Linked DNA regions of Ovis aries. The protein of the gene in region 3 interacts with the protein of the main gene of each other region in a pairwise test. Links are inferred from orthologs where the notes say so. Each region holds a gene or a part of one and is shown on either strand. Other genes may lie near its edges.

Evidence for each region. The genes of interacting proteins can lie anywhere in the genome.
Region 1: the proteins of ESR2 (region 3) and NRIP1 interact in a two-hybrid assay, tested with the Homo sapiens proteins (2 studies listed by BioGRID, with this or other methods). The link is inferred for Ovis aries from reciprocal best matches to the Homo sapiens genes ESR2 and NRIP1.
Region 2: the proteins of ESR2 (region 3) and NCOA6 interact in a two-hybrid assay, tested with the Homo sapiens proteins (3 studies listed by BioGRID). The link is inferred for Ovis aries from reciprocal best matches to the Homo sapiens genes ESR2 and NCOA6.

The regions. Positions count from the first base shown.
Region 1 is NC_056054.1:143,016,074-143,019,293, forward strand, and holds part of NRIP1 (nuclear receptor-interacting protein 1), read left to right. Parts: coding exon 1-2,282; 3' UTR 2,283-3,220. UniProt on the Homo sapiens protein: Modulates transcriptional activation by steroid receptors such as NR3C1, NR3C2 and ESR1. Also modulates transcriptional repression by nuclear hormone receptors.
Region 2 is NC_056066.1:64,069,337-64,072,990, reverse strand, and holds part of NCOA6 (nuclear receptor coactivator 6), read left to right. Parts: intron 1-1,102; coding exon 1,103-3,654. UniProt on the Homo sapiens protein: Nuclear receptor coactivator that directly binds nuclear receptors and stimulates the transcriptional activities in a hormone-dependent fashion. Coactivates expression in an agonist- and AF2-dependent manner.
Region 3 is NC_056060.1:74,522,403-74,526,056, reverse strand, and holds part of ESR2 (estrogen receptor beta), read left to right. Parts: intron 1-2,919; coding exon 2,920-3,036; intron 3,037-3,654.

The DNA of each region.
Region 1 (3,220 bases), on a different chromosome or scaffold from region 3:
GTGAGAGAGGAAGCATTTTTGAGGAGAGCAGCACGCCTACGACCATTGATGAGTACTCAGATCCCAATCCTAGCTTCACCGATGAGAGCAGTGGTGATGAAAGTTCTTACTCCAGCTGTGTGCCCATAGACTTGTCTTGCAAACACAGGATAGAAAAACCCGAACCCGACCAGCCTGTTTCTCTGGATAACTTAACTCAGTCCTTGCTAAACACTTGGGATCCAAAAGTCCCCGAAGTTGACGTCAAAGAAGATCAAGATACCTCAAAGAATTCTAAGCTAAATTCGCACCAGAAGGTAACCCTTCTTCAGTTGCTGCTTGGCCATAAGAATGAAGAAAACATGGAAAGAAACAGCAGCCCTCAGGAAGCACACAGCGATGAGACAAAGTTCAGCACACAGAATTACACCCGGACGTCTGTAATAGAGAGCCCCAGCACCAACAGGACTACTCCCGTGAGCACTCCACCACTGCTTGCATCCACCAAAGCCGACTCTCCCATCAACCTTTCCCAACACTCTCTGGTCATCAAATGGAATTCCCCACCATATGCCTGTGGCCCCCAGCCCGAAAAGCCAGCGAATACCGCCTCGAGCCACCTGATGGACCTTACAAAAAGCAAAGAATCGCAGGGGGAGAAAGCCATCCACAATGAAGGTGCACAAAACTCGGCCACGTTCAGTGCCAGTAAACTGTTACAAAATTTAGCGCAATGTGGAATGCAGTCTTCCGTGTCAGGGGAAGAGCAGAGACCCAGTAAACAGCTGCTGAGTGTAAACACAGATAAACCTCCAGGTATGATTGATAGACTGAATAGCCCTCTGCTAGCCAATAAAACAAGTGCAGTTGAAGAGAAGAAAGCATTCAGCAGTCACACAATAGGTCCTGAACCAGGACTCTCTGGGTCTGAAATAGAAAATCTGCTTGAAAGGCGCACCGTCCTCCAGTTACTGCTGGGAAATCCCAACAAAGGGAAGACTGAAAAGAAAGAGAAGATGCCCTTAAGAGATGAGAGCACTCAGGAACATACAGATAGAGCTTTAAGTGAACAAATACTGATGGTGAAAATAAAATCTGAGCCTTGTGATGACTTGCATCCGCATGGCGCGGGCATGCACTTGAGCCACGAGGCTCCGGGTGCCCCCTTCTTAGGGACGGCCCCTCCCATGCAGAGAAGCGCACCTGCCTTACCAGCATCTGAGGACTTGAATCCAGAGCCTGGCTCACCTCAGGATTTTTCTTTCTCAAAGAACGGTCTGCTAAGCCGATTGCTGAGACAAAATCAAGACAGTCACCTGGCTGATGAGCTGGACAGCAGTCACAGGAACAGTGAACTGACACTTGTAGAATCGAAGAACCTTTGCATGGTCCCTAAGAAAAGGAAGCTTTACAGCGAGCCATTAGAAAACCCCTTTAAAAAGACAAAAAGTAACACAGTCGATGCTGCAAACAGTCACAGTGCTCCGGAGGTGCTGTACGGGTCCTTGCTTAACCAGCAAGAGCTGAAACTTAGCAGAAGTGATCTTGAATTTAAACATCCTGCCAGTCACGGTTCAGCCAGCGAAAGTGAACCCAGGAATTGGACCAGAGAGAGCAAAAGCTTCAACGTCCTGAAACAGCTGCTTCTCTCAGAAAACTGCGTGAGAGATTTGTCTCAGCACAGGAGTAACTCTGTGGCTGACAGTAAAAAGAAAGGACACAGAAGCAGTGTGACCAACAGCAAGCCTGAATTCAGCATTGCTTCTCTAAACGGACTGATGTACGGTGCCACTCAGCCCGGCGGTTGCATGGACAGCAGGACCTTTCCATACCCAGGTGTCGGAAGGGCCGCCCTGAGTCCTCCTTTCCCTGAGCACTTGGGCTGCACAGGGTCTAGACCAGAAGCTGGGCTTGTGAACGGGTGTTCCATGCCCAGTGAGAAAGGACCCATTAAGTGGGTGATAACAGATGTGGACAAGAATGAGTATGAGAAAGACTCTCCAAGACTGACCAAAACTAACCCAATACTCTATTACATGCTCCAGAAAGGAGGCAATTCTGTTACCAGTCGAGAAACACAGGACAGGGACATTTGGAGGGAGCCTTCATCTGCTGAAAGTATCTCACAGGTTACAATCAAAGAAGAGTTACTTCCTGCTGCAGAAACTAAAGCTTCTTTCTTTAATTTAAGGAGCGCTTATAATAGCCATATGGGCAATAATGCTTCTCGCCCACACAGTGCAAACGGAGAAGTTTATGGACTTCTGGGAAACATGCTAACAATAAAAAAGGAATCAGAATAAAATGGACCTGCCACCCAACTTTGGATCTTTTTAAAACTAATGAACTTGAGATCTGTATAAATAAGCGCATGATTTGAGAAAAGCATGGTATAATTGAAACTTTTTCGTTTTGAAAAGTATTGGTTAATGGTGATGTTTAAATATGCAGACTACTTTTTGCTTCATGTTAAATGTCATGAGGAAGCTGCTGAACTAGCAATTGGTTGTTTGACACCTTCTGTATGCATCAGACAACAACTGTGAGTAGCCCATGAATGATAATTCTTTTTTTAATCACAGATACTAGGCATAAATTAAAATATAAATCTCCATCCAGCAGATTAATGCATTGCTGCCTTTATTAGAGGACTTGATTTTGCTTTTCAGAAGCAACCTATATAATACGTTTTTTAAAGTCCACATTACTAAATAATAACTCTTTAAAGGGTAATTATTGAATTAAAAAACCTAGTGCTGTTTCATTTCTCATTCAATTCCAAAACAATTAGAAAAATATATGCTTACATTTTTCACTTTTGCTAAAAAAAAATTATTTTTGACTATTGAAAGGGGTTTTGTGATTCCTCAATGTGTCTGGGCTTCCCCGATCCTTTTCAATATTCTGTATTTCTTTAAACCTTGTACTACTTGGTAAAAATTGATTACAATTGGTGGAAGTTTGATAGATCTTAAAAAAAGGCAGATTTCCATTTTTGTATTTTAACTACTTTACTAAATTAATATTCCTCCTTTTACAGAATTAGGAGAGTTAACATTTATCTTCAGATGGTTTCCTAAATAACTGAAATAAGTTGTTTTTAACTAGCAAAATGGCTTTTCTTTGGACAGTTTTCACCATGTCTTATAAAAGCCACTTCTCACCATTTCTGTGGTACCTGTGAGTCTGACGACCAGGGTTTCTTAAAGCTGGACTCAGACCACCTGCATTAGCATCATCC
Region 2 (3,654 bases), on a different chromosome or scaffold from region 3:
TTCCTAATATATTTTTCGTGTAACAGTGAAATAAATTTAGTTTGTAAAAATTGTATCCCAGCTTTATGTCCACTTTTTCCCATTGAACCACCTTTATTCTTGGTCCTTTCTGCTGATTATGTAAGGTTTTGGTTCTAAAATGCAAATAAAATCTTCACAAAAGAAGGAATCATTTGAGATGTCGCCTTCTAGGAATCTATAAGGCATTGTCCTCAGACTTCTTTTCCCAAAGTTATTTTTTATTCCTGAGGGCTATGCTTCTTGGCTCACTTATTCTCCACTTATGGATTCAAAGACAGTATTTCTCCAAATACAGTTTGACATGTAAAAAAGTAAATGGAAATTAGCATTTGTAAAAAGAACTTCAGTGCCCTCATTTTATTTTCAGTGTGTGTATCAGCTTCTATTTAGCTCCTACTATTTATTAAACTGACTTACGTTGGAGAGACAGTTTAATTCACTGGGTTTCCCAAAGAAGCGAGCCTGGAGGGTGCAGCATGGTGTGTGAAGTCAATGGATTGAAGTGATTTTAAATCCTTCTTTCTTAAGGAATTGAACCCTAGAACTTTATATTTTACTTCTGTTGAAGGAATAAAAAGGCTATCTTCAATGCTGGTATTTTCAACAAAACCAAGTCTTTAAAAAAATTAATCTGTGCTAAAAGAAAAAAAGTGAATCTTAAATGCTTCATTCACAAATCCAGTGAAATGTTCATTATGCCTGCATGAGAGCCCAGTACTGGGTGGTCATCCGTGTGCTGTTGATGGAGTTGTCCTCATTTCATCTGAATGTGAGGCTGGCATAGACTTGGCCAGTTTCAGTGCATAGCGCAGTGCCTGTTAGAGTCTTAGTACAGTGATGCCTCATGCAAACCCTGAAGACTGAGGAGCTCCAGGTTCTCGATGCTTTGCTTTTTGCTTCCTGAAGCAGCGTGCCTCTTTGCTTATGCCAGAGAAGGAAGGGCCGCCCCTTACCCCCCTGGAAACGGGCATGCCTGAGCTATTTGTGCCACCTAGATGAGGATTGCTTGGCCATACCCTAAAGGTCACAAAGCTTTTCTTGCTGAAAGTCTAACTTCCCTGATTTTGGGGGCTCGTTTTAGGTTATCCTTCTCAACCAGTTGAACAGAGGCCACTTCAGCAGCTGCCTCCTCAGCTCGTGCAGCATGTGGCACCCCCAGCACAGCCGCCACCGCAGCAGCCGCAGCCACCTCCCAGCCAGCCGCAGTCTCAGCAGCAGCAGCAGCAGCAGCAGCAGCAGCAGATGATGATGATGCTCATGCTGCAGCAGGACCCCAAGCCCGCCAGGCTTCCGGTCCCCCAGAGTGCCCACCCCCCCAGGGGCCCGCTGACCCCGGACGCCCAGAGAGTGCCCGCGCAGCCGAGCGGCGGCGTGCCTGTCATGGTCAGCCTGCAAGGCCCTGCCTCAGTGCCCCCGTCACCTGACAAGCAGAGAATGCCAATGCCTGTGACTACTCCTCTGGGAAGCACTTCAAGGAAAATGATGTACCAGGAGAACCCCCAGAACCCTGCCAGCTCACCACTGGGGGAGATGTCCTCGCTCCCAGAAGCAAGTGGCAGTGAAGGACCGTCCGTCTCAGGAGGCCCAAATAATATGCCTCCACATTTAGTGGTCTCCCAGAATCAGTTAATGATGACAGGGCCAAAACCTGGACCATCACCGCTTTCAGCAACTCAAGGTGCAACTCCCCAGCAACCTCCTGTAAATTCCCTGCCCAGCTCTCATGGCCACCACTTTCCAAATGTGGCTGCTCCCACCCAAACATCTAGGCCTAAAACACCCAACAGAGCCAGCCCCAGACCCTATTATCCCCAGACACCCAACAACCGCCCTCCTAGCACGGAACCTTCAGAAATCAGTCTATCACCGGAAAGACTCAATGCCTCCATAGCAGGACTCTTCCCCCCACAGATTAATATTCCTTTACCTCCCAGGCCAAATTTAAACAGGGGCTTTGATCAACAGGGCCTAAATCCGACAACTTTGAAGGCCATCGGGCAAGCACCTTCAAACCTTACCATGAATAATCCTTCCAATTTTGCTGCCCCACAGACTCACAAATTAGATTCTGTGGTGGTGAATTCTGGAAAGCAGTCTAATTCTGGAGCACCAAAACGGGCAAGTCCAAGCAACAGCCGCAGGTCTAGTCCTGGGTCAAGTAGGAAAACCACCCCAAGTCCTGGGAGACAGAATTCGAAAGCCCCTAAACTTACACTTGCCTCTCAAACAAATGCAACGTTGTTGCAAAATGTAGAGCTGCCAAGAAATGTATTGGTTAGTCCTACTCCTTTGGCCAATCCGCCTGTACCTGGGAGCTTCCCTAACAACAGTGGGCTGAATCCTCAGAATCCTACCATGCCTGTGGCCACGATAGGGGGTGTTCTGGAGGATAACAAGGAGAGCTTGAATATGCCACAGGACAGTGATTGCCAGAATTCCCAGGTTAGGAAGGAGCAGATAAACATTGAGCTAAAAGCAGTCCCTCCCCAAGAAGTGAAAATGGTTGTCCCTGAAGATCAATGCAAAAAGGATGGGCAGCCTTTGGATCCTAACAAACCTCCCAATGTCGAAGAGAACAAAAATTTGGTGTCTCCTGCTATGAGGGAAGCACCAACATCGCTAAGTCAACTTCTTGACAACTCTGGAGCTCCTAACGTGACTATTAAACCCCCCGGGCTTACAGATCTGGAAGTAACACCTCCAGGAGTGTCTGGAGAGGACCCAAAAAAAGCATCTGTCATTCCCTCCCTGCAGGATCCGTCTTCTAAAGAACCCTCCAGTTCCCTAAATTTACCTCACAGTAACGAGCCGTGTTCAACCCTTGTGCATCCAGAATTGAGTGAGGTCAGTTCTAATGTCACCCCAAGCATCCCTCAAGTAATGTCAAGACCTGTCAGCTCTTCCTCCATTTCCACTCCTTTGCCCCCAAATCAGATAACTGTTTTCGTGACTTCCAATCCCATTACAACTTCAGCGAACACATCAGCAGCTCTGCCAACTCACCTGCAGTCTGCATTAATGTCAACAGTTGTCACAATGCCCAATGTGGGTAACAAGGTTATGGTTTCTGAGGGACAGTCAGCTGCTCAGTCAAATGCCCGGCCTCAGTTCATTACGCCTGTCTTTATCAATTCATCCTCAATAATTCAGGTTATGAAAGGATCACAGCCAAGCACAATTCCTGCAGCCCCGCTGACAACCAACTCTGGCTTGATGCCTCCCTCTGTTGCAGTCGTTGGCCCTTTACACATACCTCAGAATATAAAATTTTCTTCTGCTCCTGTGCTGCCTAATGCCCCCACCAGTAGTCCTGCTCCAAACATACAGACAGGTCGACCCTTGGTCCTTAACTCAAGAGCCACCCCTGTTCAGCTTCCTTCCCCGCCTTGTACAACTTCTCCAGTTGTTCCTCCTCACCCCCCTGTCCAGCAAGTAAAAGAACTGAATCCAGATGAGACTAGCCCTCAGGTGAGCACCTCAGCAGATCAAAGCACTCTGCCCTCTTCACAGACAACCACAGTGGTTTCTCCCCTTTTGACCAATAGTCCAGGCTCCTCTGTCAACCGGCGAAGCCCAGTCTCATCTAGTAAGGGCAAAGGAAAAGTGGACAAAATCGGCCAGATTTTGCTGACC
Region 3 (3,654 bases):
TCAATGAACACCCAGAACTGATCTCCTTTAGAATGGACTGGTTGGATCTCCTTGCAGTCCAAGGGACTCTCAAGAGTCTTCTCCAGCACCACAGTTCAAAAGCATCAGTTCTTTGGCACTCAGCTATCTTTATAGTCCAACTCTCACATCCATATATGACCACTGGAAAAACCATAGCCTTGACTAGACAGAGCTTTGTTGGCAAAGTGATGTCTCTGCTTTTGAATATGCTGTCTAGGTTGGTCATAATTTTCCTTCCAAGGAATAAGCGTCTTTTAATTTCATGGCTGCAATCACCATCTACAGTGATTTTGGAGCCCAGAAAAACAAAGTCCGCCACTGTGTCCACTGTTTCCTCATCTATTTCCCATGAAGTGATGGGACCAGATGCCATGATCTTCATTTTCTGAATGTTGAGCTTTAAGCCAACTTTTTCACTCTCCTCTTACCCATCAAGAGGCTCTTTAGTTCCTCTTCACTTTCTGCCGTAAGGGTGGTATCATCTGCATCTCTGAGGTTATTGATATTTCTCCTGGTAATCTTGATTCCAGATTGTGCTTCCTCCAGCCCAGTGTTTCTCATGATGTACTCTGCATAGAAGTTAAATAAGCAGGGTGACAGTATACAGCCTTGACGTACTCCTTTCCCAATTTGGAACCAGTCTATTATTCCATGTCCAGTTCTAACTGTTGCTTCATGACCTGCATATAGGTTTCTCAAGAGGCAGGTCAGGTGGTCTGGTATTCTTATCTCTTTCAGAATTTTCCACAGTTTATTGTGATCCACACAGTCAAAGGCTTTGGCATAGTCAATAAAGCAGAAATAGATGTTTTTCTGGAACTCTTGCTTTTTCGATGATTCAGCAGATGTTGGTAATTTGATCTCTGGTTCCTCTGCCTTTTCTAGGGCTTGGGGCAGTTCCTCTCGGCGGCGCCTGTCCTCTGCGACCAACCTCTAGTTGTTCCTTAAATACTTATTGTTGTAAACCTCATAAAATCAGTGAGGATAACATCATGTACTGTTCTTTGAGGCTTTAGAAGATATGTAAAAGATTGCTCCTGCTATGGAAAGTATTGTGGCATTACATTTACCTTCTAACTGTAAAGCATTATGTTCAAAACTACAATAGAAAATCTGATTAGAAATATATTTGGTTTTTAAAATTTAGTTTTGAATATGAGTGAGTATAAAACCAATAACAAATTATATATCCCTTAAAATGTTTTATGGTGGTGGTGGTTTAGTCGCTAAGTCGTGTCCGACTCTTGCGACCCTATGGACTATAGCCCGCTAAGCTCTTCTGTCCATGGGATTTTCCAGGCAAGAATACTGGAGTGGATTGCCATTTCCTTCTCCAGAGGATCTTCCTGACCCAGGAATCGAACCTGGGTCTCCTGCATTGCAGACAGATTCTTTACCGACTGAGCTATGAGGGAATTGCCATAAACATAAAACATAAATAAAAATGTTTTATAGCATGTCTTATATTACCCCCTATTCTTGAATGTGTATAGAACCTGTGTATATAATGGGTGACTGTGTTAGTTAGGTTACATTTTATGGCAAATGGTGATGGGATCGCCTCTCGTGATTATGCTGTGGTTACGTGAGACTCCATCATAGCAGTCTGGGGAGAGCAGTGGGGAGATGCACTCCTCCTACCCTGGAAGAAAACAGACATCCTGTTGTCAAGTGCTTCTGGGCAAGTGCCTCTAGGAGCTAGGAGCAGTGTCCAGACTATAACTAGCAAGAAAATGGGGACCTCACTCCCATAACTGCAAGGAATTAATTCTGTCAACAACTTGAATGAGCTTGGAAGAGGACCCTGAACCTCAGATGAGGCCACAGCCCCGTCAACACATTGGTTGCAGCTTTGTTGGGACCCTGAATAGAGTAAACTTTTCCTTGAACTCTCTATTCATGGGAACTATGAGATAATAAATTTGTTTTATTTTAGGCTTTTAAAGGAATTTATTATGCAAAATGAAAAAGCAATAACTTTAAGATTATTGAACTGAGCTTAAGTGTTTTCATTTGTAAAATTGGGATCATAGCTCTTTATAGGGAAGTTATATGAGTAAATGAGGTGCTCATGAAAAGAACCTGGAAATCAGTAGGAGGTCAGAAGTGTTGATGTGTCAGGCAAAGAAGACATTGCTTCCTGTACGTGGCCAGGATGGAGTGTCACTTGAGAGAGTGGTTTTTGCATCTCTCGGGTGCCAAGCCAACTCAGGGCGTGACTGGCAAGTCACAAACAACTGAAGTTCAGTTTATGTTTTGTTGAACAAATGTTACTGGAATCTGGAATCTACCTGAAAGGAGAGAGGATTATAAAGTTCATCATAGTTCAATCATGGAGCTCTGTCTTTTTGCAGTGGTCTTTAAAATCTGGTGATTATCAAGTAGTACTTCTTTCTTTCCTTGTTTAGTTTGCTGATTTTTTTATATTCTCTTATTGACCAGTGTAGGTCTCTTAGTTAGCTATGAATTCCCACTAAAAAGGCATGTTAAATCCCCCCCCGAAAGTGTATGCAAAAGAGTACAAGGAGTTTAGTTTGCTGACCGGACACCAAGTACTACTCTTGAGGAGTTTTGTGACTTGGAGCGAATCAATTTCAGGTGACTGTCTCACTTTCCATGTCCAAAGAAGAGTATTTCTAAATATATTTCTCGAGAATTCTAAGAAGATGCAGAGAATAACCTACAGGTCAAGATGTAGGATATCAAAACATTCCTAGATTTCCTTTACTCACTGATGAGGCACTGATGAGACGGCACTTCATTTTTACACCTGTTCCTGTAGCTAGAAGCTGTTTTCCTATCTCTCAGCTGGGTGGCTTTAGCTGTGTTGTTGACCAAAAAAGAGAATTATCCAAAATATTATAACAATAAACCTCCCCTTTTTTTTCTCTGTTGTAGGACATAATGATTATATTTGTCCAGCTACAAATCAGTGTACCATAGATAAGAACCGACGTAAAAGCTGTCAGGCCTGTCGACTGCGGAAGTGCTATGAGGTCGGAATGGTGAAGTGTGGTGAGTGTTCCCGTCCCCTTCTGTGGTATGTGGGACATGCTGAGAGCCAGGTCAAACTGGGGACAGTGTGAGGACCTGAAGACATGGAGTCTAGGTGAGAGGAGATTTAGGGCGCGGTAATATCTTCAAGTGTTTGCATGCTGTCCCACGGCAGGGGCGTTGACTTAGTCTCTGTAACTCTGGAAGACAGAGCTGGGGTGAACAGAAACAAGTTGCAGGAGGCAGATTTGGGCCCCGCTTTAGGAAGAACTTTCTCCAGGTCAAATGGTCTGACACCAGAATAGGCTGCTGCATGAATTAGAGAACTCTAGCCACTGAAATGCTCAGATGGGCTGGATGACCGTCCACCTGAGGCCTTGAAAAGTCCCAGGATGAAGTTCTGGTACATGTTCACAGTTAAAGCTGTGACAAGAAGGTAGACTATATTGTGGGTTACTTGGGATGACTCATGCCTGTCACTCCGTTAACTTTCTAGAAGTGGAAAAAATGTATATGCAGGAGTCAGAAACATGATAGACCGATGGAAAGCACATAGAGCAAGAATTTTGTTCTAAGATGGTACGTGTGCATATATGTGTGTATACGCAGATGTGTGCATGCGTGAAAAGACAGAGGGAA